Linked DNA regions of Oryctolagus cuniculus. The protein of the gene in region 1 interacts with the protein of each later gene in a pairwise test. Links are inferred from orthologs where the notes say so. Each region holds a gene or a part of one and is shown in the gene's direction. Other genes may lie near its edges. The genes, in order: THAP1, TCEA2, FAM133A, ZNF385C, BAG5, RBM10 and MRPL11.

Region 1 (4,082 bases):
CACAGAAACGAGTGCAAGGCTTCACTGGAACAAGAGAGTTGCCTCGGTTGAGGAGGTCAGGAGCACGCGAAGCCCAGGAAAACAGGCTTCTTGTGGGAGGCACCGGAGAGCCTGCCTATTAAAGACCTACAGCTGCAGCAGAGCTTAAGCAGGAGACGCTGGAAAAGCAGAGGCGCCTGGTCCTAGAGGGCTTTGTGGCTGACCTTAAGACATCGGGATTTTGTTCAAAACACGAATAAACTGATGAAGCACAGGGGAGTGTCGGCTTCCATGAGGACTGCAGATGGCAAAGTCAGGGGGTTGCACCCACGGTGAGGGTCTGATCAAGAACAGGAGCTAAGAGCCGACGCTGCGGCACAGTGGGCAAAGCCGCCACTGCAGTGCCGGCATCCCATATGGCCGCCGGTTCGAGTCCCGGCTGCTCCATTTCCGATCCCGCTCTCTGCTGTGGCCTGGAAAGCAGTGGAGGATGGCCCAAGTCCTTGGGTCCCTGCACCCACGAGAGAGACCCGGAAGAAGCTCCTGGCTTCTCGGAAGTGAACCAGCAGATGAAAGATCACTTATCTCCCTCTCAAACAAAATACTTTAAAAATAAAGGACTCAAAAGAACAGGAGTTAAAGATGAAAAAGGAATGGACTTAAGAGGCGTGTACGGATTCTATAAAATTAACGTGGTGTCATCAAGGCGTTTGAAGACGACTCTGGTATAGACAGCCGTGGGACAAACGACTCGCAGGTAATACGGGAAGCAGGACAGATGCAGGCAGTTAACAGACGACCTGGGAATCACTAGCAAGCTGTCTAGAGTTCCGGAAACGCCCACGTTTCAGGGGGCAGAAAAAAGCAGAGCGTCCGAACCATGCAATCAGCAGTCCGCTCGCCGGATCTGCAGGGGGCAGGGGATAAAGAGGCAACGCCTCTGTGCGGTGGGACACTGCGCGCTACCGTCTCGGCAGCTGAGATGTCACCGGAATCCAATCGGCGACCTGGGAGAGCGGGCTGGCTCAGCTTGACAGCTGACCCCACACGCTGTATGTTTCCCACTCAAGGCTGCCCGGGGAAAACTCGGGGTACAGAACTCCGGGGAGCACCACCCGCGGCGCAGGGCTGGCCCTGGGAGCTTCGCCTTCCCCTAGCAGTCCCGGCCTAGACCCAAGTTCTGAAGCCCCGCCTCCTTCCGCAACGCCTAGCCACCGCCCCGCCCCACGACGCAGGAAACGCTCGGCCTCAGCCAATGGCCTGCTTCCTAGAAAAACGTTACCTCTGACCTCAGAGGCTACTCGGAGACGGTGGAAGAACTCCTCGCGAGAGGTGAGTTTGAAGCTGCCTCCGCCATCTTGGAGATGGGAGAGGGGCGATGGCTGTGGCCCTTCTGCTAATGCAAACTCCACAACGGGCGCGGTAGTCACCACCACCCCTCCCCGAGTGAAACCGTCTTCTCTGTAACCGTTGACCAAAGCTACAGGAGGAGAAGGCGTCCACACCGAGAGCTGCGACATCGGGAGCAGCTCCGCCTGCCTTCAGGGGCGGCAGAAGTGAAGGGACAGAGACCGGAAGGATGGTGCAGTCGTGTTCCGCTTACGGCTGCAAGAACCGGTACGACAAGGACAAGCCCGTGTCTTTCCACAAGTAAGTCCCCCTGCGCGCATCGCGGGGCCGGCCCCAGCCGGGGTGGGGGGCGCGCGGCCGGTTGGGCGCGGGGCGGAGCCGGGCGCGTGTCCGCGCGAGACCTCACGAGAGGGGCGGGGGCGAGGGCGGGGCGGGGGTCTCGGGCCGGGAGCCGGGGGCGTTCCCGGCCGAGCGGCGGTTCCTCGCGCGTCCGGACGTGGGCTTAGCGAGTTCCGCGCCTGCGGAGGGCGGATGGTGGCGGCCGCCGAAGGCTGAATGGGATAGGAGCGAAGGCCTTCCCCGTGCCCTCCCCCAACCCTGTTCTGTATGTATGTATAGGTGTGTGTGTGTATATATATATGTATATATGTATATAATATCTATATATACATATAGATATGTATATATGTATATATATGTATATATGTATATAATATCTATATATACATATATACATATATATATAATATCTATATATACATATATACACACATATATATATAAAGATTTGTTTATTTGAAAGCCACGGAGAGGGAGGGAGAGGTCCCTCATTCCCTCGTTCACTCCCCAAATGGCTGCCAAAGCCAGGAGCTCCCCACGGTCACCCATGTGAGTGGCAGGGGCCCAAGGACCTGGGCCATCCTGGGCTGCCTTCCTGGGTGCACCGGCAGGCAGCTGGGTGGGAAGTGGAGCAGCCGGGAGAAGCTGCTCTTTTAGGAAGGGAGAAATTCAGAGTTTATTTTGGCCAGGATATCAGGGAGGTGTTTTTTCTCGCAAACCTACGCCCCAACCTTAAGGATCCCAAAGATTGAGACAGCTTGTGGGTGTGCCGAGAGAAGACCTGCTCTCCCTGAGCTCCTAGTATGGTGGAGGCCATAAACTCAGGGCTGTTTTACCCCGCTGGTCCTGTGGCTCCACTGCTACAGCTGGGGGTAGGGGAAATAGACTTTTGAAAATAAAAAGCTGAGAGGTTGGGTTGTGGCGTAAAGCCGCTGCCTGCAGTGCCGGCATCCCATATGGGCTCCGCTTCCAGTCCAGCTCTCTGCCATGGCCTGGGAAAGCAGTGGGAGATGGCCCAAGTGCTTGGGCCCCTGCACCCACGTGGGAGACCTGGAGGAAGCTCCTGGCTCCTGGCTTCCACTGCAGCTCCGGTCGTTGCAGCCAACTGGGGAGTGAACCAACGGTTGGAAGACACACACACACACACACACACTCTCTCTCTCTCTCTCTCTCTCTCTGCGCCTCTGCTTCCTCTTTCTATGTAACTCTTTCAAATAAACAAATAAATCTATAAAAAACAAAAAAACACACAAAACTGCAGCATTGGATTACCTAAGGATACCAGATGCTCAGCAAAAGGAGATACAATGGCATTTTCATTCAGCCTGATTGTTTACAAATGTCATTACCCATGGATCCAGTGGTAAATTATATGAATTACTCATAGATGAATAATTACCAAGCAAAATGTTAAGTGTTGGGGCATTGTTATATTTTAAAACATTTGTTTATTTAAAAGGCAGGTGACAGGGAAGACTTCTGGCCAGAGAAGCCAGGAGCCTGGACCTCGGTCAGGTCTCCCATGTGGGTGGCAGGCACCATCCTCTGCTGCTTTCCCAGGCGCATTAGCAGGGAGCTGGATTGGAAGTGGAGCAGCCAGGACTCAAAGCGGCACCCATATGGGATGCTGGCCTCACAGGCAGTAGTGTAACCCACTACACCACAGCACCGGCCTTGTGTGTTTAACGTGTTTGATGTAATGTGAGATGAACCCTGGAGAAATAAGAGTGGGTAGAGCATGGAGACCTCCGGAATTGCTGTTCTTCTTGGAGAAGGGTCTGGAACCCAGGATTCGGCTCCATACGTCTTAGTATAACTGCTGGGTCTGTTAGAATGCCTGAGAAGTGAAGGACTCCCAGAGGCTACATCAGCGGATGGTAACAGCGTCCTCTGCATTCAGCTCCCCATCTCCCTGGCCCCCTTCGAAACGGGTGGCAGAGCAAATCTAAAATCCAAGGCAGGCGCTTCACAGGCACTGGAAACTAGCTCAGCATGACATTCGCACACCAGGAACGCTGTGTTTCTGCTCACTGACTCCAAAGAAGGGCTAGCCTCATCTCACTGCTTTCTAAAGGAGCAGGTTTCAGGAGCGTAGATGGGAAAGAGCCTGCCAAAACCTCACAGACACCTGAGAATGTGTAGTCCTTGGGAGAAGAGGTCCTGCATACTGAGTTTTTTACAAGCACTTGCTGCAAGAGTTGGTACTTCAGAGGCCTTTTGCAGCAGACATTTTTCTTTCTTTTTTTTTTTTTTTTAAGAAATTTATTTGAAAGAGTTACAGAGAGAGGTAGAACCAGAGAGTCTTCCAGTCCAGTCTGCTGGTTCACTCCCCAGATGGCCACAACAGCCAGAGCTGAGCTGATCCAAAGCCAGGAACTTCTTCCAGGTCTCCCACGCTGGTTCAGGGGCCCAAG
Region 2 (4,091 bases), on another chromosome or scaffold:
GCAGCAGCTGCGCCAGATGCAGGGCTGGGGCATCTAGGGGCCCTCGAGTCAGCTGGAACCCACCCCTCTCCCTGAGGCCTGCCTCTCCGGGCAGCCTGCGTGGTTGGCACCACCTGGATGACAAGGGTCTGGCTTGGACGATTTCTGAAGCCATGATTTCTGGGTCCCGAGGCGGCCCCAGTACTGGCCCACAAGACCCAGCCAGCTCCTGGGTGTGGTCACTCATCAGCCGTCCAGGGTGGCTGAAGGATGTGTGGCTCCATCCTCCCTGCTGCCCTGACGTGGCTGGACGCCCACCCCCGCCCTGACTACGGGCAGGGCAGCTTCTGCTGGCCTGGGAGACTGGGGTGTGGTGTCCGCCCACCATACAACCTGGGAACAGCCACAAGGAATTCATGCTTTTCCTCGTGGTTAAGGTGAGTCCCGCACCTGCCACCTTCAGTGCCGCTGAGCGCCTAAGGCCTGGTGTGCCCAGCTGCCCCCAGCAGTCCCTGGCCCGCTCTCTGCAGCCGCCAGCACCCCATCACTAGGAGGCAGGCAGGCACCGGTCCTGGCCCCGCACCTTGGCACTCCTCAACTCTCCTGGGCCTGGGCCACCCTCTGTGTTGTGTGGTCTGGCCCCTCCTGGGGACTTCAGCTGTGGCAAAAGCCAGTCTCTCGCTTATCCGGGTCAGTGAGTCAGCTTGCCTCACCCCAACAGCAGCCCTGCCAGGCACAGGTCAGGGGTCGGGGCGTGGAGCCGCCAGGTACAGGGACAGGGGTCAGCTTCTGGCACCCCTTCCCCATCAGCCTGACCAGAGGAACCCACCCTCCTGCCGGCTGTGGGGCTCCCCAGTGTGGGCGGGCAGCTCCGGGAGCCAACCCCGGGCAGAGGCCCTAACGACCCAGGCTGGGTTCTGGGACGGCGCCGTGGTCGCACGGACCGAGGGGCAGGGTTGGCGGGGTCGGGGATGCTCGAGGACAGAGGAGGGGGAGCCGGCCGTGAAGGGACCCGGAGCGGCCTAACGGGCCCGGGCCGTTCGGGGGGCGGGGCTCCTGGGGGCGGGGCTCCAGGGGGCGCGTCCAGCCCGCCCCGCCCCGCGGCCCTCGCTCAGGGCGGTTTGCGGGGCCCGAATTCTCCGCAGGAGGTCGCCGCTCCCAGAGGACCCTTCCCAGCAGGCGGGGCCGTGAGTGCGGGGGCGGGGCCGGGGTCGGGGTCTCCACGGGGCCTGCGGCGGGGGCGAGGTCGGCACACTCGGGCGCGGGGCGGGGCCGGCGGGGGCGGGGCCGGGCGGGCGCGCGCGAACTACGCGTCCCAGGGTGCAGCGCGCGGCCGCGGGGCCGGGGGTTTGAGCCGAGGGTCGGCCCGCGGCGGCGGCGGCGGCGGAGGCGGCGGCCGGGGTCGGTCTGAGGCGGGCGCGGGGGCGCTGCCCCGAGGCGATGACGGGCAAGGAGGAGGAGATCGCGCGGATCGCCCGCAGGCTGGACAAGATGGTGACCAAGAAGAGCGCGGTGAGGGGCGCGGGCCGCTGGTACCCCCGCCCCGTCGAGACCCCGCCGAGGCCGCCGCCCCGCGTCAGGCCCGGGAGCCCCCACGGGGAAGGACGAGAGCCCCGGCAGAGACCCCTGGGACGCCGGGAGACCCCCGTGCCCGGGGCAGGGACCCCCGCCCGGGCCGCCCCGCCCTCCCCCTGCGCCCCGCAGACCCGAGGCCCGGCCCGACCCCCGGCCCAGGAGCCCCCGCCGCACGCTGGGCCCGCCCCCGGCCCTCGCCCCCACTCACGGGCTGCGGGGCCGAGTCCTCGCCCCTAGGGGCCCGGCGCCTGCGGCAAATGCCGCCGCCTCGACCGGACCCCACGGCCGGGCCGGTCCTGGAACGGCCTCACTCCCCGCAGCACCCCTGGCGACCGCCCAGCACCGCCGCGGTGGGGAGGGGGCGAGCATCCCGCGGACCGGCTCCGTGCACGGGACCTGTGCTGTCCCCGGGGCTGCGAGCTCCCGGGGCGGCCCCAGACGGCTGAGTCATGGGCTCCGGGACCGCGTGGGGGTGGGGCGGGTTCTTGTGGATGGGGTTCTCCAGGAACGGGCCCGACTGTCAGTCATCCTGGAAGCAGCACCCCCACCCCATTGTTTTCTCACCCCCCCAGGCCTGCAGCAAAGTAGGGGCGCTAGACTGGCTGGGGGAGACTAACAGGGAGGGGAGCGGCTGGGCAGGACTCGCTCCCTGGGAGGACAGGGAGGGAGGCCAGCACCTGAGAGCTGAGAGCCCCTTTTGGGGTCCGGAGACCTGGGAGAGCCAGCTTCCCCGTGTGCAGTGCCGGTGGGAACGCGGCCCTGGGAGATCCGAACTCGGCACAGCGCAGGAGCGGGGCCTGCCTGGGAGAGGGATCTGCGTGGTCACCCCCGCCCTTCTGGTCGGAGAGACACACACCGCACTGAAGGGATGGCGCCCGCAGGGAGCAGTGGGGGCGGGGGAGCTGGCCCCCCCGAGTCCCACCTTTAAGGAACAGAGGCTTGGCTGGGCACAAGGCATTGCAGGGAGGTGGGGCCCACACCCATCAGGGTCCTGGACCTGGGGAGCCTGGAGGAGCGGTGCCCGAGGGGAGATGCCCCTGTGTGTGACAGCCTGAGCCCTCCCCTACCTGGCCATGGCCCTTGGCGTCTGTGCTCCTGTGGTTTGTTCAGTGACCCCACATGGCTACGGTGAGGTTGTTGCGTGGATGCTGGACGGAAGGTCACGGGACCATAGGGACAGAGCCTGCAGAGCCACTTGGCTCCTTATCCTGGGTGCACCGGCTGGTGGGCGGAGCCCTGGTGTCTCCAGGTGGAGGCACTGAGGCATGGCCTATGGGCAGGAAGAGGTGGGATTGTCCACTGAGCTCTAGGAAGCCCCCCTTTCTCCTTCCAGGAGGGTGCCATAGACCTGCTGAGGGAACTCAAGGCCATGCCCGTCACACTGCACCTGCTCCAGGTAGGTCCTTGCCTGCCCCCGGCCTGGGGCAGCTCCTGGGAGAGCAGTGTCCAAGGGCACACTGATGGGCACAGGCCTGTTCCTGGCTCTGGCTCTCAATGAGACGTTTCGATATCCCACCCTGTCCTCGTGGGTTCTACTGGGAGATGTCAGAGTCCCCCTGGGGGCTCCCCACCACCCCCCGACCCAGGCGGCTTGTTCACAGGCCACTCGTGTGGGGATGTCGGTCAACGCCCTGAGAAAGCAGAGCTCAGACGAAGAGGTCATCGCGCTGGCCAAGTCTCTCATCAAGTCGTGGAAGAAGCTGCTGGGTGTGGGTCGGGCAGTGAGGGCTCTGTGCTTGGAGGAGGGGTGCCCAGGGGGTGCTGGCCTCCTGCTTGTCAGGCACAGTGCTGCCTGGAGCTGGAACTGGACCGGGGCCTGCCTTGGAGGTGCTGCAGGAGGCTGGGGCCCCCAGAACCTGCTGGGCCGGGCAAAGCTGAGGTGCCCAGGGCCAGGGGGGCAGGAGGTGGCCCAGGGTGGGGGCACTGGTACGAGTGGGCTGTGCCACTGGGACAGGAAAGCAGCCATGCCTCTGGGCCCTGGGAGGGGGAGCCTTCCTAGGCTGTCCTGGGCACTTACCTCTGTGAGGCAGCCACGTGACCTGTGTGGCCAATGGACACATGCGACACACATGTGGGCTGTCCCCAGTGCAGGCCTCCCAAGGCGTGGGGTTCAGGAGGAGCCTGCTCTGTGCTGGAGGGTGGACCCAAAGAGACCCCCCCTAGGCAAGAAAGGGTATTGGGGTGGTGGCCTCCTGGCTGGGGCAGGGACCGGGACCGTGGCCGAAGGCGGTGGCCAGGGCTCTGCTTTGCTGGAGTCCTCTGTCCCCTTCACTCACTGCCTCTTCTCCGGAAACTGCAGACGCTTCAGATGCCAGAGCCAGGGACCGGGGGAGGGGTGCGCCTCTGCCTGCCTCGTCCTCCAAGGCCGCCTCCGAGGCCACGGATCCCAGGTAGAGCACCTGGGGAGCAGGTGCCGCTGTGACCCTGGGCGGTGGTCAGGGGAAGCGTTGGTCAGCCCAGTCCCACCTGGCTGGGTGTGCCTTGCGGTCAGTGAGCTGCTCTGGGTCTTCCCCTGCCTGCCTACCCTGGGGCCTGTC
Region 3 (3,997 bases), on another chromosome or scaffold:
GAACAGGGCATCTACCTTGTCACATTCATCTTGAATATTTCTGAGTGCCTGCACACGATTTCTAACTGCCTGAGGTAGCCTATCCACGAAATTTCTACGCAGTGGAGCCCGCTGAACCCCTCTGGAAGGCTCGGGAAACCTCCTCTTTTTATATAAGCGGCTGCGGCTGCTGCAACTGCTGCTGTTGCTGCTGCTGCTGCTGTTGCTGCTGCACCTGCTGCTAGAACTGCTCTCAGATTCTGCCCCAGAATCACTAGCCGAGCTAGCCATCTCCTCTTCAGCAACCCCCTCGGCGACAGGTTCCAAGACCATTTTAAGATCCGCTTCAGCCATATGGAAAGCCTGTAAACCTCTTAAGTGGTGACTACCGCAGAGAGCGCGCGCCCAGAGATGGGCAGAAAATGACTCACGGATGCTTGCGGCAGCGGCGGCGGCCGCGGGGAAGGCAGCAGCAGCAGCGCACGGCGGGATGGGGCTGGGACCGAGGCTCCGGCGGCGGCGGCGGCGGAGGCGAGACGGCAGAGGCACTGGCGGCCTGGACGAGAGTGGCGGCGGCAAGGCCTCTCCAGGCAGCAGCCACGGCCGACCTAAGCGTGCCGCAGTCGAATGGCGCAGTATGAGACCCCGAGATCTCTTCTCGCTTGGGATCGCGAGCCCCCTCCCCTTCACACTTAGACTGCCCGTTAATTTCCTACCCAGCGTGCCTTTAGTTGGCTCCTTATTTGCTGGACAACCTTGATTGACAAACGATATGTCCAACGAAAGGCCAAACGCAACGGTTCCCCCCGCAACACATACACCAAGGCTCCGCCCATCTTCCCAGACGCTCTTTGGTGGGTGAGACTCGAACCCTTGGAAGCCCCCCCTCCCAAAATTTATCTTTGTGATTTTATAATTCACAAAAAGCGCAGACACGAGGTTAAAAAAAAAATACAAGCCATAGTTTTTTAACCACATAAGAAGAGGAGTGTCTTCCTTCTATCCGCCCATCCTGAATTCCCGCTTGGTTTGTCACGGGCCTCTTGACAAAAAAAAAAAAAAAAACGTTTTGAAAAAATTGGATGAAAATTTTCTAAATGGAGTCAATGGGTAGTGTGACTATGGATGATTTCTTTCTTAGGAAAAGCGTTATTCCTCTGCTCTGTGAGCATCTACTTTTACACTGGGAGAAAAAGGGGCAGTCGTTTATTGGGACGGGGGAGGGGCTAGACAGCAGGCATATTGCATTCCACGTAGCAGATTTAATAAGTGCTGTCTGTGATGTTTGGCAAGCCTGGTTTGTATCCATCTACAAGGTTTGCGAACCCATGTTGCCGTGAGTCAGTTACACCATTTTTATTTTATTTCTATTTTCTAAGCTGGCATATAATATACCCCAACCTTGTTGCTAACGCGCCACATAGCCCTTCTCAAGGCTTGCAATAACCTTGTAAATAAAAAAGGGGTATTCAATATTGCTAATATTAAAAAGAAGACTGTTTGTTTTATACTTTTGTGCAGCAGGTTTCAATTCCAGGAACAGCAGGATGGGGGGGAGGGGGAATTTGTGCTAATGAAAGTGCATCCTCTGTCAGCATATAAAATGTAATCTGCCACCAGTTTCCTTCTAGTATTGTAAAATTCCAGCCATATTAAAGTATGACTTACAAGTCCAGTAATATGTGAACAAACTTTCGCAAAATGAAGTTTAAAGATAGATATGTGTTGTTTTTATTTACAGGATTCTTTTCTGCTACAGAACAACTCCCTTGGTAAACCCAAAAGACCAGTGTTTACTTTTCACTGAAAGGTAAGGAATGCATTTAGCCCATTTTTATGAATGACAGGGATAACCCATTTGTATTTGAGTAAAAATTCACAGGATAGTATTTTAGAGATTTAATTGGATGATATCTTGATATTTCTATGGGAACAGAAAAATTCACAGAAGTGATTTGGCATACTAATGTACAAAACAACTACTTAACCACATTCACTATATAAACTTGGTCATAGAATACAAGTAACAAGACATAAAATGTGATGAATTATTCATTTTGAATGAAACTATGTTAAAGTGAGATAATTTTATATTACATTTTTATAGAATTTGTGCTTTGACATTTAGTTACACATTTTTTTTAAAGTTAGGGAATGCTTTTAAATTTTGTAAATGCATTTACTTTTACTCCTTAGCGCTGATTGTAAAAGTATATGAACATTGTAAAGATAAAACCCCAGTAGAGAAAAATTCCAATGATTGGAAAAACACAATCTTAACAACAGAATGATAACTGTTGCTAGCATTTTGGGTGCAATTCCTTCTAGAGATTTCTTGTGCATATTTATAAACACCTGCATATATATGTATATAATTTTGTCTATGTGACATTTTAGTATGTTTTGTAACCTGCTCATTCATTTATCATTTAATTATGACTATACGGTTCATGGAAAATGATCAACATCTAATTTTTAAATAGAGGCATATTCCATGGAAATAGTTGTCTTAATTTATTTCATCTAATTCCTGTTGTATGGTAACTCTTTCCACACTATCTCTCCACTTATATCAATACTTTTTTACTTGTAAAAAATATTGCTCCTAGGCAACCAGAGCAGGTGCACTTATGAAAATTTGTAATAAGATAGATTACTAAGCAGGGGTGCTGGACTAAATTAAATTGTGTGTTCATTTTAGCATTTCATACGGACTGATAAACTCTCTCTAGAAAGATTATAACCATTTACAGTCCCACCAATAGTGCATAAGAGCTCATTTAATCATTCAACTAATATATTTTTGTGCTTGTCACGTACCAGGCACTCGTTGTAGTGGATGCCAGTATAATAGTGAGTAAAACTTAACTGGATGCATATGTTTTCATTTCACAATTTTAATGAAAGCATTTTCTATAGAACAGTCATTTAAATCAATGGGTTTTACCATAAATATTATTCTGCAGCTTATTATTTTCACGTAAAGTGATGGATATCTTTAAACAAATTCTCTTATGTTGATGGCTTTTTTATATATGTTAAACTTTGTACCATCAAAGATTAGTCTTAGAGTTAGTGATAAGATAGGAATCCAGATTACAGTATTTTAATGATTTTATATGCATGTTAGATGTTGTACTATTGGGAGTTGGTATTTAGGAGTTAGTGATGTTAAAGATCCAGATTTTTGAAGTTCATTTTTGTCAGCTAATTCTTTGAGTATCATTTATTTGAGAATATGTATACTCCATACTTATTTGAAATTCCAAATTAATCATATTAACTGATTTGCCTGGGTCCATTTCTTAATTCTCTCCTTTTTGTTCCATAGGTCAGAATTTTTACGCACAAAACTAATTAGGTAGTTTAAAAATAAGCTTTTATTTTGTGGAAATGATACATTAAAAATGTATATATTAACATGATATCATTAAAAAAGCTAGATAGAATAGTTAACTACTAAGAACTACAAAGGAATAATTAAAAATAACTATAAATACATGAAGAAGTGATTGCCATTCACATTTTTAGATGAACAACGCCAAATACATTTTTCAATATTATGTATTTGTATTTCTTATATTAGTAGTAAGACTGAATGTTTTTTCATGTTTATTGTTCACTGAATATTATCTATTCATGTTGTTTGATTGTTTTCCACTGAATTAGAAATTAAAAGGCGGTGAAATTCTAAAGGTACAATGACTTTGACCATGATAAGGCAACCATGGCTGCTATCAACCAAGACAAAATCAAATTAGTCATAGATAACTAATAATTACATTTATGTAATTACATTTATGACCATTACAGTCTGGGAGACAAAAAATTCAAGTAGCCTTGAAAATGTGCCCCGAAAGGGTGTGTGTTTTTCTAGCTTAAACTTCAAGGGGGCAGTTAAGTTCATCTCCTGTTTGTCAAGAATTATCATTCAGGCACTGGCAAGAGTTTGCAAGAAAGGGATGGAGAACAGTCTTAGGAAGTGAGTGGGATGACCTCACAAACTGCTAGAAAGATT
Region 4 (3,500 bases), on another chromosome or scaffold:
CTCTTCAAGCGCGTGGTGTTCGGCCTGGGGCGGCTCAGCCCGCGCGCCCTGTGCGCCAGGCTGGCGTGCGCGCACTCGGAGCTGCACGAGCTCTTCCCCGACTTTGCCGCCCTGGCCGCCCTGGCCCTGGCGTTGCCCGCGGGAGCCGGCCTCTTGGACAAGGTGGGCCGCAGCCGGGAGCTGCGGTGGTGGGGACAGAGCGGGGCAGGGGAAGGCCGCGGCGGCCACGTTGTGAAGATCGCTGTGGATGGGCCGCCGCTGCAGGACTTTGACTTCGCGCTGGCTGTGGAGTTCTTAGAAAGTGGCTGGGGGGAGGGGCTCCTGGGGCCGCAGCCCTCCTGAGTGTGGCCTCCACCCCCCGCCCTGGACCAGCCTCCCGGGGTCTCTGGGCACTCCCAAGAGCAGAGCCAGACTTGACCGTGCCTCACCTCAGCTGACGGCTAACTGTGCCCCCTTCCCAGGGGTCCTGAGACACCTTCCCGGTCTAGAGCAAGTGGGGAGACGCTAGGGCTCCCTAAACCCTTCCCATCCTTTCCCCTTCTGAACTGGGCTGGTTCTGGTCCTAAAACGTGGAGGGGGAGTAGAGGGGGCTCTTAGTTAGGTCTTGGGGGACTGAGGCGCTGTGGGAAATGAGAATGAGCCCTCGACTCTTGGCCCACTCCTGGCTGCACCCCCTCTGCGCCCCAGCTCATGGAACCAAGGAGGTAGTGGGGCCCCCTCCCTTCTCCACCTGCTTGGGGGGGCTTTTCTCTATCTGACCGTACATGTTGACATAAAAATCTATCAGTGTGAACCCATCTGTCCCGTTGTCCATAGTATGAACACAAAATCAAAACGGACTGGATTGAGTTCTCATTTTCTTTGTTTTCAAAATCGGCTTGCTCTTCAAGTTCCCAGCCCTCCCCCTGCTGCTGCCTGGGACCCTTAAGACCAAAGACTGCAGAAGCACGGTGTGGTGCCCTGCTGCCCCTGCACGCCTGGCCTGCGGTCACTTGTCCTTCATAAGGGAAGCATCTGGGGCCTGACCTGAGCCTTGGTTCTTGTCCTCCAGCCTCCCAGGGGTTGCTCATCTCCTCCTGTGCCCAGAAGGGTGCGGGATCTGGAAGGCGGGACTAGATAGTGAGGGGGAAGGGGCTGGCCTTTGCACAAGCCCCCTGAGTGGGTTTAATTTACAATAAAGCAGAAACCCAGTGCATGGCACCATCTCCATGGTGGTGTGTACCTCAGGGGCCAACCTGACTCCTGCCCCTCCTGCCCTGGACTCTCCCAGGGGGTTTCATTTGGCCACTGTGTAGCCTTTGCTTCTCCAACTCTGGGGAAGCAGAGCCCAGCAGTGGGGGCTGCCGTCGCCCTGGGCTCAGCTGCCGTGACTGTAAAGAGAGAGACGAGTTTCTGCTCTGGTTCTGCACCCAGGCAGCCCGTCTGGCTCTCGTGCTGGCTGTAGAGGTAGGAGAGAGCCCTGTGGCTCCCCAGTTCAGACCTGCCTTCTTCCTTCTGCAGCAGGCCCGGCCTCCAGCGCCCCCAGCCCCCTTCTGGGCTCCCTGCCCCTGCCCACGCGGCCTCTGCAGCCCCCGCTGGACCTCAAGCACTTGCTCGCCTTCCACTTCAATGGCGCCGCCCCGCTCAGTCTCTTCCCCAACTTCAGCACGGTACGGGCTGCGCTGGCGGTGGGGCGGGTGGGGACGGTGGGCTCAGAGTGGCCAGCTCGGCAGCTGCATCCAGCCATCATCCCCCGCGGTGACTGGGGGCTTCCCAAATGAGGACCCGTGGGCCTGGCTCTCTCCTAGACTGGGGAACAGGATGGAGTCACTCCCTCTCCACCCCCACCTTCATCACTGCTGGGCCTCCAGGGTTTGCCGAGTACAGACGTCACTTGAGTGTGTGTACAGGGACTTCTGGGTCAGTCATGTGTGCCTTTCTGTTGTACTTCATGTAGCTCCTTGGTGTCATGTGTGGATGTGTGTGTGTGTGTGTGCGCATGCGTGTGCATGTGCGTGAGTGCCTGGCGGATCATTGTGTCGTTAATGGGAGTGCCTTCATATGTGCAGGGTTCTTTTTTTTTTTTAATTGAAAGGCAGAGTTAGAGGCAGACAGATCTTCCATCTGCTGGCTCACTCTCCAATGGCCACAACAGCCGGAGCTGGGCTGATCAGGAGCCAGGAGTTTCTTCTGGGTCTCCCATGCAGGCGCAGGGCCCAAGCACTTGGACCATCTTCCACTGCTTCCCAGGTCATCGGCAGGGAGCTGGATCGGAAGTGGAGCAGCCGGGTCTCAAGCCGGCACCCATCTAGGATACCAGTGCTGCAGGCAGCGGCTTTACCTGCTGTTCCACAGTGCTGCCCTCCCCCAGGGGTTCTTCTGTCTGTGGCTTCTGTAGCTGTGTTTGGTGTGTGCTTGTGTGGTTTGAGTGACTGAGTTCATCTATGGTCACGTGTCTCCTGGTGGTCTGTAACTTTGTGACGGCTGTTAGCTCCTGTGCCATGTGTCCATCCGTTTCACGTGTGGGTGACAAGTGTTGCAACTTGGAATTTTCCTCCGCCAAGTGAAGTATAAGGAAACCCCCCTCCACAGACAAGCCCCTCCCATCTGGATAAGACAGCAACCAATTCTCTCTGGGGCAGGAACCCCTTCCAGCACCCGCTCCGGGAGGCGCACAGAGGCCCTAGGGAGTCTGGGACATGTGGGGAGGGTCCTCTGCCCGTCCTTGTTCTGGGGCAAGGTCTCTCGAGGGCCGCTGAGACCGCTGCCATCCTAGTTGCTGGGCTGTGCCCCCCTGCGCTGCTGTCCCCTAAAAGTCTGGAGCCCCGAGTCCTGGGAGGTCAGCGCCTGTTTCTGTTCTCAGGGAAGTTCTGCACCCAGGCCCTTCTCTCTCCCCTGGGAAGGTCTGGGAAGTTCCTCTTGACAGGTTCAAATTCTTGCCCCTGAGAAAAGGGAACCTAAGGGCTTGGTCTGATCGAAGAAAAAAAATTACTTACAATGCTGGGAGAAAGAACCCCACTCAAGCGAATGTTCCAGAGAAACAGTGCTGCCACTTGGAGGACCCTCAGGCCACCCCTCGCTGCCCCTGGCCAGGGCTCTCGCTGCCAGGCTGCAGGCCCTGCACCAGTGGCACAGCTGACAGGACAGGCTTCTCCTCCCAGCCCCCAGCGCCGGGCACCAAGGCTGGGTTACAGGAGTGAAGGGTTCTTTGTCCCTCCCTGCCTCCTTCCCTTGCCCAACTCCCATCCTGATGGTTTGATGCTTGCAAAGGAGAAAAATAAAACAGAGACTAGAGGGGCAGCAAGAGATGCCCAGGTGTCCAGCAGGACAGGATTCTATTTCTCGAAAGCATGTGGGTTGCCCTGGCCATCCCCCTGCCAGCATCCAGTGCTGGCCAGGGAGAGGCTGTCTCGTCTCTGTGAGGAGCAGGTGCAGGGCGGGGAAGTTTCCCGGAGGGGCTGCCCCTCTGCCCTCCTCGGTACTCTGCACTTTTGGCCTTTTGTACTGCTGCCCGCCGCCAC
Region 5 (4,028 bases), on another chromosome or scaffold:
GCTCCCTCCAACACCCGGCAGCACGGACACTCGGACCCCGAGCACACGGCGGGGGTCACAATGCTGGACGCGGCCAAGCGGCTCCGGCTCTGCCCTGCCTCTTCCGGAGAGCACCGGACCACACGGCCCCAGACGGCCCTGGACCACACGGCCCTGCACGCCACTGGACCACGCGGGCCCTGCACGCCACTGGACCACGCGGGCCCGCACAGGACACGACCACACGACCCGCACAGGACCAGACCACACAGCCCCAGACGGCCCCGGACCACACAGCCCCAGACGGCCCTGGACCACACGGCCCTGCACAGCACCGGACCACACGGCCCTGCACGCCACTGGATCACACGGGCCCGCACAGCCCCTGACCACACGGCCCGCACAGCCCCTGACCACACGGGCCCGCACAGCCCCTGACCACACGGCCCGCACAGACCGGACCACACAGCCCCGCACAGCCCCTGACCACACGGCCCGCACAGACCGGACCACACAGCCCCGCACAGCCCCTGACCACACGGCCCGCACAGACCGGACCACACAGCCCCACACAGCCCCTGACCACACGGCCCGCACAGACCGGACCACACGGCCCGCACAGCCCCTGACCACACGGCCCTGCACGCCACTGGACCACACAGTCCCAGACGGCCCCGGACCACACGGCCCTGCACAGCCCCTGACCACACGGCCCGCACAGGACCTGACCACACAGCCCGCACAGCCCCTGACCACACGGCCCGCACAGGACCTGACCACACGGCCCGCACAGCCCCTGCGCGGGTCCGGTTCTCCAGCAAGCAGCCTGCGGGACCTGTTGCGGCGCTGGCACCGGCGCCCAAACCGGCCGCGGAAACGCCGCACCCCGCGCAACCCTCTCGTTGCTACACGGCTGCCCCCGCCAGCGCCTTTCAGAGGCTGAATCCTCCCCAGACACCCGCGAGCCTGGTGGGTGTGCGCGCGTGGGAGCGGAAGTCGGGGCGGCGGCCGCACGAAAACCCGCAGGCCCAAAGTGTCGCAACGGCCAGCGGGCTCCCTCTCGTCGCTCCGTAACCACTGCCGGGCCCGGCTCCGCGCCGGCCTCACCGCCCCTCTCGTCGCTCCGTAACCACTGCCGGGCCCGGCTCCGCGCCGGCCTCACCGCCCCTCTCGTCGCTCCGTAACCACTGCCCGGCCCGGCTCCGCGCCGGCCTCACCGCCCCTCTCCTCGCTCCGTAACCACTGCCCGGCCCGGCTCCGCGCCGGCCTCACCGCCCCGGCCCGCCAGCGCCTGAGGACAAGCACGGCCGGCCGCACGCCGCGGCCGCAGCCACTCGCCGAGCCCCTCCGGGCGCTTCTGGAACTCGCCCTCGGGCAAACACCAGGTCCGTGCACCGCGGCGGTGGGCGCCAGACCGGGGGCGGCCCGGCAGCCCCGGCAGCGCGCTTACCCCGCTCGGCGCTGCTTCCCTGCGCTCCGCACCGCGCTCCGGGGCCCGCCGCCCGCCGCCGCCCGCGAAGGCCCGGCAGAGGGGCGGGACGAGGGTCCGCGGCGCCCGCCGCACCGCCGCCATGGGGCCGCGCCCACCTTGCTCCCGCGGCACCCGGCGGCGTTCGCGACGGCGAGCGGGGCTGCCTTACGGCAGGGTCGCAAAGCCGGCGGGCGCGCCGCGGAGGGGCCGACCGCGCGCTTTTCCCGCGGTGACACGGCTCGCGGAGGGGGTCTGTGGGGACGGGGCGGCGCGGAGGAGGCCTGCCGGGACCGGGCAGCGCGGGCGAACGCCGGCGACAGTTCCCCGATCCCTGTCGTCCCAGAGGCCCGGGGCGCGGCTCGAGGTGAGGCGCGGGCGCGGAGCCGTCTTTTCCCAGGGCTTGGGGGTGGTCGGCCCCGGACGGGGGCGCCGCGGGCTCTGCGGAAGTCGTGGGCGGCAGCGGAGCGCGTGATGGCGCGGGTGAGTGGTGCGGGGGCGCCGGCGATCGCGTCTGCTCTCTCCGCGCGCGCGCCGGCGCGGGGCTCCGCCGGGCCACCCTGCTCCCCCCCACGGGCTCCCACGCGGCCGCGCCTGGCCGGGTTCCCCGCCGGGCTGGGCCCCGCTCCGCGCCCCTCCCGCCCGTCCTCGCGGGGCGCCCGGGCCTCGGCCTCCCCCGCGCGCCCATTGTGAGGTCAGGGCCGGCGGCGAGCCGGGGGCCCGGGGCCGAGACGCCCGGAGCGGCCGCTGCGGCCAGTAGCTGCCGCCGCCGCCGGCCCCTTCACCGGCCGCCCCGTCCAGACCGAGCCGGGGGGCTGAAGGGGATGCCGTTAGGGGCCCGGCCCCGCCGCCGCACCCGGTGAAGGGCTGATCTTCCACCTCGCCGCCGCGCCTCCGGGGAGCCGGGACCTCCGCCGGGTAAAGTGCGAGAGGGAGGGAGGCCCGGGCCCGCGGCGGCGCCCGCGGGCCCTCGTGGGAGGCAGTGCAGGCAGAGTGGGCGCTGTCCCGGGCGGGGAGCCCCGGCGGAGCTTGGGGCCCCGTCGCGGGGCCTGTCCCGCATTCTGCTGGCCCGGGCGTGCCCTGCGGGCTGTTCTGTGCCGCGGGCCGGGCGGCCCCTCGGGCTGGCCCTGGGCCTGCCGGCCGGGGTCCGCGGACCTGCCGGCGGCCGCTCTGAATGAGCTCTCTTGTCGCCCCGCAGCGCTCGTGAGCCCAGGCAGCGGAGCATGGACATGGGAAACCAGCACCCGGCCATCAGCAGGCTGCAGGAGATCCAGCGGGAGGTGAAGGCCGTGGAGCCGCAGGTGCTGGGCTTCAGCGGGCTGGCGGACGACAAGGCCTACCGGAGGCTGGAGCGCATGCTCACGCGGCAGCTGTTCGAGATCGACTCCGTGGACACCGAGGGCAGGGGGGACGTCCAGCAGGCGCGGAAGCGGGCGGCGCAGGAGACGGAGCGGCTGCTCAAGGAGCTGGAGCAGAACGCCAGCCACCCGCGCCGCCTGGAGATCCGGAACCTGTTCCGCGAGGCGCAGGCGCTGGCGCAGGACGAGATCGCGCCCTTGCACAGCGGGGGAGGCTGCGCCGCGGACGAGGTGGAGGAGCGCCTGCAGGACATCGTGCTGCGGCTGACGCACGTCAAGACCGGCGGCAAGGTCTCGCTGCGCAAAGCCCGCTACCGCGCGCTGAGCAGGGTGTGCGCCGTGCAGGAGATCCTGGAGGACTGCCTGCGGAAGCAGCCGTCGCTGCCGCTGTCCGAGGACGCGCACCCGTGCGTCGCCAGGATCAACGCCGTGATGTGCACGGTGAGCAAGGCCCGCGGCACGGTGGTCGCGCTGCTGATGGGCGTGTGCGCCGACGAGACCTGCCGGCACCTGTCCTGCGTGCTCTCGGGGCTGCTGGCCGACCTGGACGCGCTGGACGTGGCCGGGCACCCGGACATCAGGAACTACCGGAGGGAGGTGGTGGAGGACATCCACAAGCTGCTCAAGTACCTGGAGCTGGAGGAGGAGGCGGACACGACCCGCGCCTTCGACCTGGGCCAGAACCAGTCCATCCTCGAGATAGAGAAGGTGCGCGCCAGGACGCGGGAGGTCAGGGCCGAGCTTCTGCGCGCGCAGAGCCCGGCCGAGCTGTACCTGAGCTCCAAGACGGAGCTGCAGGGCCTCATCGGGCAGCTGGACGAGGTGAGCCTGGAGAAGAACCCCTGCATCCGGGAGGCGCGCAGACGGGCGGTGATCGAGGTGCAGACGCTGGTCACCTACGTGGACCTGAAGGAGGCGCTGGAGAAGAGGAAGCAGAGCGTGGGCGCCGAGCACCCGTCCCACCAGGCCGTCTGGAGCGTCCTGGGGAACCTGTCGGAGATCCAGGGGGAGGTCCTGTCCTTCGACGGCAATCGCAGCGACAAGAACTACATCCGGCTGGAGGAGCTGCTCACCAAGCAGCTGCTGGCCCTGGACGCGGTCGACCCGCAGGGCGAGGAGAAGTGCAAGGCCGCGCGCAAGCAGGCCGTGAAGCTGGCGCAAAACATCCTCAGCTACCTGGACCTCAAGTCGGACGAGTGGGAGTACTGACCGCGAGTGGGCAC
Region 6 (4,147 bases), on another chromosome or scaffold:
CTGCTAATCCAGTTATTTGAGCTTGGGCAAGCCGTGTATCTCTGTGTTTCTATTTCCTCATCTGTAGAATGGGTGTTAATCAAAAGTGCCTACCTCAAGATTGGGTGGTTTTGAGGATTAGATGAGTTAATGTATCTAAAGTGCTTAGACATAGACTGGCACCGGGCAAGCACCACCTCGGGGCTTTTAGTATTAGCATGGTTACCCTACTATATTGCTTCCAGAGTGTTTACGGCATTTCTGACTTTAGGTTTGCAAAATAAGGCCAACCCTGCCTCTGGCCCCGGACCGTAGGTATCAGGGGACAAAGGAAGAAAATAAGTAACCAAAATTCCCACGTCTTTAAGGATTTCGCCAGCTGCGCAATCCGCAGCTGCCTCAGAACGTCCTCTGCGGCGCCCCGTCCGCCAGTCCCCAATTGGCCCTTTCGGCGTTCCGTCCTCCCTCCCTCTCACCTTCTCATAGAGGTTGTCGTCCTCGGGATCTGGGTCCTCCTGCCAGCGTATGGTCGGTTCTGCAGGCCGCTTTCCCGCCACAGCGGACGGGGCGACCACAGCCCTGGAGGAGCTGGATTGCCAGCGAGCGCGGACAGCCGGGAGCGCTCGCGTAGCCGCTGCGGCCCAAAAGCGGCGAGCGCACAAACCTAACATCCCGGCCGCCATGACGAAGAGTGCGGCAGGGTCTCAGGGGCGGAACGGAAATGCGACTGTGCGCAGCTGCAGTTGGTCCGAGCGCGATAATTGTCGCTCCACCCCGCCACACTAAATAGGTCCCAGGTCCGATTTTGTTTGCAAGTGAGGCGGGGCGTCGAGGAAGAGCCCCCTTACCCTCCTGTTGTCATGGCCTCTTGAGAAATTTGCTATTGCTAGGTCTGCACATAACTTGATAGGAAGGAAACAGTGACATTTGGGTGGCCACGGCTTCCAGCCAATCGCCCAGAGAGTTCCCTTGCCCTTTAGGGAAAGAGGTGGAGCTTCCGCCTGCCTTTCATCTTCAAAGGAAGCCAAGCTTCTAAAAAGCGGGCCTCGCTGGATTGGCCAATAGCGACTTTTTCTCGACTTGTGGGGCGTTCTCACGGGGAGTGGGGAGGTGGCCTACGCGTGCCAATCAGAGGCGGCCAGGGCTGGCCGACGGCGAGCGGCGACCAATAGAAGAGGCCGGCCAGAGCGCGCTCCCTTAGTAGGTGGATGGTGGTCGGAGCGCCGGCTGCCTTCTTGTCGTCGCCATTTTGTGCTGCTGATTGCGGCCGGCTGGGAGTAGGCGGCCGTGAGTTTCCCTGGGAGGGCAGCGCACTTGGCGCTTCTCCCTTCTCCTGCCCCTCCTTTCTGCCTCCAGCTTTGGACTTGATTGTTGCGCGCTCCGGCTCCGACTGAGCTGGGAGACTTGGAGGAGGTGGCGGCGGGCCGAGGTGATGCCTGGGAGCCCTCCCTTGACAGCCCGGGCCGAGAAGGTGAGCGTCGACGCTGGTCGTGGGGGCGGAGGTAAGGGGTCCCGGGCGGGGGGTTGCACAGATGAGGCATTGAGGGCGGACTGCGGGCTCGGGGCACGCGTGGATCGCAGGGATGCGTGCACGGTCAGAATCCGGGAGGGGGTGTCTTCCCCCCCCTCCTTGTGAAATCTAGGGCGCGTGCGCGATTGGGACACGGGATGGGTGCACGCGGGCTGGGGGAAGGGAGGGACGGATGGGAGTGGGTTACTGTAGCTGTGTTTGCTTGCAGAACTTTATGCAGGTGTCTGCGACTTGGGTGTTTATCCATAGGGGAAGAGGTGTGCTGGCTGCTCTCTGTGATACTTTGGCACTTACCGATCCATGGGGAAGTGCTCGGCGGCTCTGGTCCTTATTCATGGGGCGGGCACTGAGGGGAAAATGTGCAACTCTGGCCTTTATCCTTGGCGGGGCGAGGGGCGACTCTGGTCCTTATCCGTGGGGGGGGGGGGCTACCCTGTGACGGGCCCTTACTCATTGGATGGGAGAGGGGTGCAGAAAGCGTGTGTGTGTGGTGGTGGGGGGGGGGAGAGACTTACCTCCCGTTCTTTTGAGGAGTTCATACCATTGAAACGGGGCTCTGTGTGTGATTAAGGCCCTCGCAGTGGGGTCTGGCTGTGATTTTGGCCAGTATCTGTTGTGGATGCCAGAGTCTGTTGAGGATTTCCCATCTGCCTTGCAATCGCCGGGGCCCCTGGTTGTGATTCTGACTTTACCCATTGGGAGCAGGTAACTCTGGTTCCCTGTGGTTTGGGGAGGAAAAGAAGATTGGTGTGTGTACATGGAGGAAAGGTGTGGTGGCGACGACCTCGTGTTGAGCAGGTGCTGTTACCCGCCTGGCTTCACCCGATTCCTGTTGAGAGGGAGGAGCCTGGAGATTGTGGGATACATTCCGACCCCTGCCTATGTTGTCACATAGTTATCAGGAGTCTTAGACCTTGCACAATCCCAAGGGTTGTATGAAGTGACTGCTCCAGCCCAGTAGAAAGGGCCTCCTTTTGCTTCTGGAACACTTGGGCTCAGAGCCCTAGGGAGCCAGCCACCTTGGGACCCGGCTGCACATCAGAGACAGGGCTGGGGGCTGAGCCAGTTGCCGTGCAAGAGCCAGGAGCCCAGGGAGGTAGCAGTTGTCCTGTTGCCGAGGTAGTCCCCTTCACACACACCTCCAGAGCCTTTCAGGGTGTCTTGCTGCCTCGCAGGGGGCAGCCAACATCTTGTTGGGAGAACGAAATGGTACCTTGGGGCTCATGGACAGAGCCCAGTGCCTGCCCGGATCTCCCACTATTGTAAAGTTTTGCCTCTGTGCCTAGACTTGAACATGTCTACCATGCTCAGATGGCAAAACCCTGGCCACACAATGACTGGCCCCACCAGGTCTCTCTGCAAGATGTCTCCTGTCTGATGAAGGCCTTGTCTTCCAGGGCTGTGGGCTCCAGTTTTGTGTTTGTGGGTAAAGGAAGGAGCAGCCCAAGTTGGGGCTGCCTTCTTGTAGCCTGATCCACACAAGCACTGGGCGTTGAAAAACAATATCCGTGGGCTACGGGACAGTAGAGAGCCTTGATAATGAGGGTTTCTCACTGCCTTGACCCCTTTCTTCCCTCTACTCTCCCCAGAATCCCTGCAGGAGGCATCACCCAGGCTGGCAGATCATGGTGGCAGCAGCGGGGGTGGCTGGGAAGTGAAACGGAGCCAGCGGCAGAGGAGGGGCCCCAGCAGCCCCCGCAGGTCCTATCAGGACATGGAGTATGAAAGACGGTGAGTTTTCTGCCCCCCCCCCCCCTTCCGAGGAGCCTCGGCTTGTCCCGGTGTGAGGATCCATCCAGGAAGGTGTGTCAGTAGGGGCCTTCCAAGCGGAGGATACAGTACAACAGGTGATTGGTTTCTTTTCAGCCGACGTGTGTTTGGCACCTGTTGTGAGACAGGATCTGTGCTAGGCTGTGAGAGTGCACTGATGAATGAGACAAATAAGAACGGCATCCCCTGTGCTCAGGATGTCACAAGGGGTGCCACACAGTTCATAACGGTTACAAAACAACTTGATGGGTAGTGTAGTTGGAGGTAAGGGCGGGAAGGGATCAAAAGAAAGGAGAGAATTGAGGCTGATGCCAGGTTTGCAGCTTGCGTGACCCGGATAGGTGTGTGGCACCATTCACCAAGGTGAAGGCAGACTCTGCAGGGGGAGGGGGAGGAGAAGAGGCAGGAGGTCAGGTCTGTAGACTTGGGTTTGAGGAATGGATGGGAATGCTGCCTTGAGTTAGGAATTTGGTCAGGCAAGCCAGGTCAGATAATGGGAGACTCCAGGGACAGAGGGGGCTGCACTGGGCATGATATTTTTCTTGAAATGGATACATTCACATGGTTATTTTTGTCAGCTGTGGTATGTGCAAGAAACAGTTGGAATGCTGGGTAAAATCCAGAAATCCTGGGTAAAATTCCGTAGTCCTTTGCTATCCTGGTGGGTCACCCCAGGTAATTGTGAGGCAGGTGATACACCCATGATATTTTAAGATTGCCTGAGAAACCAGATCTAACTCTCTCAGAAAGCCTCTATTAAGAATCAACGGATTTATAAAAGGGGTGAGGAGAATTGAAAGATAAAGCTTAAAATATTTTCAAAGGATTTCTTCTACCATTAGCCCTCTTAAAAATGGAAAACAATAT
Region 7 (3,964 bases), on another chromosome or scaffold:
TGCTCCGGGTTCACCGTCCGTGAAACGGGTTCTGTTCACGAAGATAGGCGAGGATCTGCTGGACACGTCTTCCAGCCAACCTTCTAAGTATCGCTTCCCGGCCACGCCACCACCACCTGGCCCAGCCCTCTGCCTGCCTCCTCCAAGCTAGGGTGACCTTTTCAAAATGCAAATATGATGCAAATGCATGCCCAGCACCCTTCGAGGGCTTCCTCCCCCACCCAGGGCTGCAAGACCTGGCCCCCAACCCCTGGTCCCGCCCCCTCGCCTCCACTGCCTCTGAACCTCACACGCGACCTTGAGGCATTTCCAGGGGTCCCTCCCGGTAATCAGAATCATCCCAGCTGTGCCTCCACTGACCCCAGGTGGAGTTTGCCAGCCGCCGGCTCGCCCTGGGCTCCCTGATTGTGCCGGTCAGCTACCTGATGGCTTCACCCAGGAAGGATTTGTTTCTTTATTAGTAAATAAACTTGTGAATGAAGGTCAGGCACACAGAGATGGATCAGACCCAGCCTGCTCCCCCCGGCCACCATGAATTAATTAATTTATGAGAGAGGCACTTTCTTTTTAAGATTCATTTTACTTATTGAAAGGCAGAGTCACAGAGAGAGAGAGGTCTTCCATCTGCTGGTTAGCTCCCCAAGCGGCCGCAATGGCCGGAGCTGGGTCTCCCACGTGGGTGCAGGGCCCAAGTCCATAGCAGAGAGCTGGACCGGAAGTGGAGCAGCCGGGACTCGAACCGGCCCTCATACGGGATGCCGGCACTGCAGGCGGCGGCTTTACCGGCTACGCCGCAGCCCCGACCCCAACTAGATGAGAAACAAGGATTTAGTACGGACGCCCGCTCTGAGCAACAGGTGCGGTTATCACGATGTCCAGCAGACGGCGCTCCAGCGCACCAGGTCGCCTGACGTGCACGAGGGGCCTTAAAACTACCGCACCCACAATGCCTTGCGGCACCGAGGGCCCGCCGTCGTGCTTAGCTGTCCGAGGCAGTGCCTGTATGCGCTCCTGAAAGAATGCGCGTAGCGAAGCCGCTCGGGTCCTTCCCCCTCTCTGCAGCAGGCCAGTGGGGAGGTTCTTTTTTTTCCCTTTCTCTTACTCTCCCGGCCTTACCCGTTAAGACTGAAACAGGCTGATGCTTGTTGGCCTCCCCTGCCCTAGCCCCTCGTGAGGCCCCTTGACCTCTGGCCCAAGATGGCGGCGCCCAGGGCGTAGCTCTCGCTGAGGTGAACCACAGCCAGACGGCCGGCGGCATGTCGAAACTAAGCCGGGTCTCTCGAAGCCTCAGGAAGCCCGAGGCCGGCGGCGTGATCCGGACCATCGTGCGGGCCGGCCAGGCCATGTCCGGGCCCCCCCTGGGCCCTATCTTGGGTCAGGTGCGCTCCTGGCCGGAGCCCGGCGCGGGGCGCCGGAGGGCCGGGATGGTCGCGGAGCCGCGTGCACGCTTCCAGCCCGCGTGTTGGCCTCCGCAGCAGGCCGTGGGGGGGACACACAAAGAAGTCTGTGGCGCAGAGAGCGGGAGTCGAGTGTGGGTGGAGGAGAGGGGCCGCGTGGGCGCGGCCGGCCCCGCTGACCGCCGTGTTGCTCCCGCAGCGAGGCGTCTCCATCAACCAGTTCTGCAAGGAGTTCAACGAGAAGACCAAGGACATCAAAGAAGGCATCCCCCTGCCCACGAAGATCCTGGTGAAGCCCGACAGGACGTTTGAAATCAAGATCGGCCAGCCCACCGTGTCCTACTTCCTGAAGGCGGCCGCGGGCATCGAGAAGGGAGCGCGGCGGCCAGGTGAGGGCCGGGGCGGGCGCCCGGGAGGAGCCGGCGGCCAGCGCCTGAGCGCGCGTGCCCCTTGCTCCCAGGGCAGGAGGTGGCGGGCCTGGTGACCCTGAAGCACGTGTATGAGATCGCGCTGGTGAAAGCCAAGGACGACGCCTTCGCCCTGCTGGACGTCCCGCTGTCCTCCGTCGTCCGCTCCATCATCGGCTCTGCGCGGTCACTGGGCATCCGCGTGGTCAAAGAGTGAGTGCGGAGGGGGCCTCTCGGGTTCTGGGGGGGGGGGGGGGCGGTGCACCTGTTGCGTGTTAGGTGTCGTCCTGGATGTGGGACGCGGCTTAGGCGGGGGCAGCGCTGCTTGGCCCACGTCCGTGTGGCGGCCGCGCGGACCCACGGGTGCGTGTTGGGGCCGGGGTCACCAGAGCAGCCAGGAGGGTTGCTGGCTGGGCGTGGAGTGTCCGTGAGGGGAGGGGCTACATCTGAGCAGAAGCCGGGAAGAGACCGAGGGCTGGGGCAGACGGTCCAAGGACGGAGATCTCCGTGGAGTCGGGAAGGGCGGGGGGCCTGGGTGCAGAGCCCCCGGGCAGGGTGGGAGGGTGTGGACCCGAGGCCGACAGGAGGGAGGCCTGCTCCTCGGCTTCAGGTGAGCTCAGGGAGTTGGGGGTGTCGGGCCCAGGCGGGGGCGGGCCGGGGAGTAGGAGCCCTGCGTGTCCTCTGCCGCCGAGTCAGGCCCCACCCGCGGCTCACGGTCGCTTCCCGGAAGCGCGGGCGCAGCCTGGGGCAGAGGGGGACCGGGCCTTGCTCACGTCTTAGCTTTTGCTGGGACGCAGGGATGAGTAAGCCCGGTCCTCTGGGGGAGACACAGGCACAGCCCCCCCGGCTTCCTGGGGCACAGGGCGAGGCCGGCTAAACTGGACTGGAGCCCGGCTGGGTAGCGATTTAGTGAGAGGATAAAAGGCCGCGGGCGGCTTTTCTGGCCGAGGGAGTGCGGAAGCTGGGGGCCGAGCAGCTGGACTCTGACACGGGGACACGGGCCCCGAGAACCGGGTGGCAGCTGCTCACCACCCGTCCACCCGTCTGTCTGCCTGTCCACCTTCTGTCCGTCCATCTGCCTGCCTGTCCATTCATCCGTCTGCCTGTCTGTCTCTGTCCGTCCGTCTGCCTGCCTGCCCATCCGTCTGTCCATCTGTCTGCCTGCCTGCCTGTCCATCCGTCTCCGTCCGTCCGTCTGCCTGTCTGTGCGTCTCTATCTGTCCATCTGTCTGCCTGCCTGCCCGTCTATCTGTCCATCCGTCCGTCTGCCTGTCTGTGCGTCTCTGTCTATCCGTCCACCCGTCTGTCTGCCTGCCTGCCCATCTATCTGTCTGTCTGTCCGTCTGTGCGTTTCTGTCTGCCTGCCTGCCTGTCCGTCCGTCTCTGTCCGTCCGTCTGCCTGCCTGCCCGTCTATCTGTCCGTCCGTCCGTCTGCCTGTCTGTGCGTCTCTGTCTATCTGTCTGTCTGTCCGTCTGTCCATCTCTCCATCCGTCTGTCCGTCCGTCTGTCTCTCTCCACCTGCAGCCTCAGTGCCGAGGAGCTGGCGGCCTTCCAGAAGGAGCGAGCCGCGTTCCTGGCTGCCCAGAAGGAGGCGGATTTGGCAGCCCAGGCAGAGGCCGCCAAGAAGTGACCCGGCCTCGCACACCCACAGTTCTGAGGCAAACGGCTGGGGCGGGGCCTGTGCCGAGGGGGAGGAAGGGCGACCGCGCCACCCTCATTGTGACTCTCCTGACTGGATTATGTATTTCTACGCTCATGGCTGCGTCAGGCCTGAATAAATGTCTCTGTCACCATTCTCAGCCTCTGTCTTGGGACCCAGGGAGGCAGCCCTGGGGTGGGCAGGGGTCTTCACGCGGCTCCTGGGACACAAACCGAGGCTCAGCCGGCAGAGTGGTTTGGCCCACGCCTTAGCTCATTTTCTGTTCCTGTAACAAAATCCCTGGGACTAAACACCACCGAGAGAAAAGGTTATTTGGCACACGATCCGGGTAAGTGGAGGGTCCAACAGCATGGCGCTGGCGTCCAGTGAGGCCCCCGAGCGTCACCTGTGGCAGAGAAGCAGCAAAGGGAGTCATGGGCAGGGGGAAGGGGCCGAGCGTGTGGGGCAGCCTTGCCTGATGGTGGCCGACTCCCTCCTGTGTGCCCGCCTGTCCCGTGAG

The links.
Region 2: the proteins of THAP1 (region 1) and TCEA2 interact in binary tests that used the Homo sapiens proteins (3 or more experiments, as listed by UniProt). The two-hybrid records come from large-scale screens. The link is inferred for Oryctolagus cuniculus from reciprocal best matches to the Homo sapiens genes THAP1 and TCEA2.
Region 3: the proteins of THAP1 (region 1) and FAM133A interact in binary tests that used the Homo sapiens proteins (3 or more experiments, as listed by UniProt). The two-hybrid records come from large-scale screens. The link is inferred for Oryctolagus cuniculus from reciprocal best matches to the Homo sapiens genes THAP1 and FAM133A.
Region 4: the proteins of THAP1 (region 1) and ZNF385C interact in a two-hybrid assay, tested with the Homo sapiens proteins (3 studies listed by BioGRID). The two-hybrid records come from large-scale screens. The link is inferred for Oryctolagus cuniculus from reciprocal best matches to the Homo sapiens genes THAP1 and ZNF385C.
Region 5: the proteins of THAP1 (region 1) and BAG5 interact in binary tests that used the Homo sapiens proteins (3 or more experiments, as listed by UniProt). The two-hybrid records come from large-scale screens. The link is inferred for Oryctolagus cuniculus from reciprocal best matches to the Homo sapiens genes THAP1 and BAG5.
Region 6: the proteins of THAP1 (region 1) and RBM10 interact in binary tests that used the Homo sapiens proteins (3 or more experiments, as listed by UniProt). The two-hybrid records come from large-scale screens. The link is inferred for Oryctolagus cuniculus from reciprocal best matches to the Homo sapiens genes THAP1 and RBM10.
Region 7: the proteins of THAP1 (region 1) and MRPL11 interact in binary tests that used the Homo sapiens proteins (3 or more experiments, as listed by UniProt). The two-hybrid records come from large-scale screens. The link is inferred for Oryctolagus cuniculus from reciprocal best matches to the Homo sapiens genes THAP1 and MRPL11.

Annotation. Positions count from the first base shown.
Region 1 is NC_091433.1:92,919,832-92,923,913, reverse strand, and holds the start of THAP1 (THAP domain-containing protein 1), read left to right. Parts: upstream 1-1,282; 5' UTR 1,283-1,558; coding exon 1,559-1,629; intron 1,630-1,781; exon of another isoform or gene 1,782-1,935; coding exon of another isoform or gene 1,936-1,937; intron 1,938-4,082. UniProt on the Homo sapiens protein: DNA-binding transcription regulator that regulates endothelial cell proliferation and G1/S cell-cycle progression.
Region 2 is NC_091442.1:143,420-147,510, reverse strand, and holds the start of TCEA2 (transcription elongation factor A protein 2), read left to right. Parts: upstream 1-1,291; 5' UTR 1,292-1,419; coding exon 1,420-1,491; intron 1,492-2,887; coding exon 2,888-2,950; intron 2,951-3,155; coding exon 3,156-3,261; intron 3,262-3,853; coding exon 3,854-3,944; intron 3,945-4,091. UniProt on the Homo sapiens protein: Necessary for efficient RNA polymerase II transcription elongation past template-encoded arresting sites.
Region 3 is NC_091453.1:56,414,792-56,418,788, reverse strand, and holds the start of FAM133A (protein FAM133A), read left to right. Parts: upstream 1-1,197; 5' UTR 1,198-1,315; intron 1,316-1,720; 5' UTR 1,721-1,789; intron 1,790-3,997. Other genes in the region: NAP1L3 (nucleosome assembly protein 1-like 3), read right to left, coding at 1-333.
Region 4 is NC_091448.1:20,724,716-20,728,215, forward strand, and holds part of ZNF385C (zinc finger protein 385C), read left to right. Parts: coding exon of another isoform or gene 1-342; exon of another isoform or gene 343-844; intron 845-1,500; coding exon 1,501-1,649; intron 1,650-3,500. Other genes in the region: C17H17orf113 (uncharacterized protein C17orf113 homolog), read left to right, coding at 1-342.
Region 5 is NC_091451.1:46,388,092-46,392,119, reverse strand, and holds the start of BAG5 (BAG family molecular chaperone regulator 5), read left to right. Parts: upstream 1-1,228; 5' UTR 1,229-1,364; intron 1,365-1,429; coding exon of another isoform or gene 1,430-1,552; exon of another isoform or gene 1,553-1,621; intron 1,622-1,653; exon of another isoform or gene 1,654-1,930; intron 1,931-2,223; exon of another isoform or gene 2,224-2,365; intron 2,366-2,645; 5' UTR 2,646-2,670; coding exon 2,671-4,014; 3' UTR 4,015-4,028. UniProt on the Homo sapiens protein: Co-chaperone for HSP/HSP70 proteins. It functions as a nucleotide-exchange factor promoting the release of ADP from HSP70, thereby activating HSP70-mediated protein refolding.
Region 6 is NC_091453.1:32,690,546-32,694,692, forward strand, and holds the start of RBM10 (RNA-binding protein 10), read left to right. Parts: upstream 1-1,347; 5' UTR 1,348-1,411; coding exon 1,412-1,481; intron 1,482-3,099; coding exon 3,100-3,241; intron 3,242-4,147. Other genes in the region: NDUFB11 (NADH dehydrogenase [ubiquinone] 1 beta subcomplex subunit 11, mitochondrial), read right to left, coding at 456-662. UniProt on the Homo sapiens protein: Binds to ssRNA containing the consensus sequence 5'-AGGUAA-3'. May be involved in post-transcriptional processing, most probably in mRNA splicing. Binds to RNA homopolymers, with a preference for poly(G) and poly(U) and little for poly(A).
Region 7 is NC_091432.1:5,444,218-5,448,181, forward strand, and holds MRPL11 (large ribosomal subunit protein uL11m), read left to right. Parts: upstream 1-1,164; 5' UTR 1,165-1,256; coding exon 1,257-1,379; intron 1,380-1,596; coding exon 1,597-1,786; intron 1,787-1,857; coding exon 1,858-2,017; intron 2,018-3,329; coding exon 3,330-3,435; 3' UTR 3,436-3,598; downstream 3,599-3,964.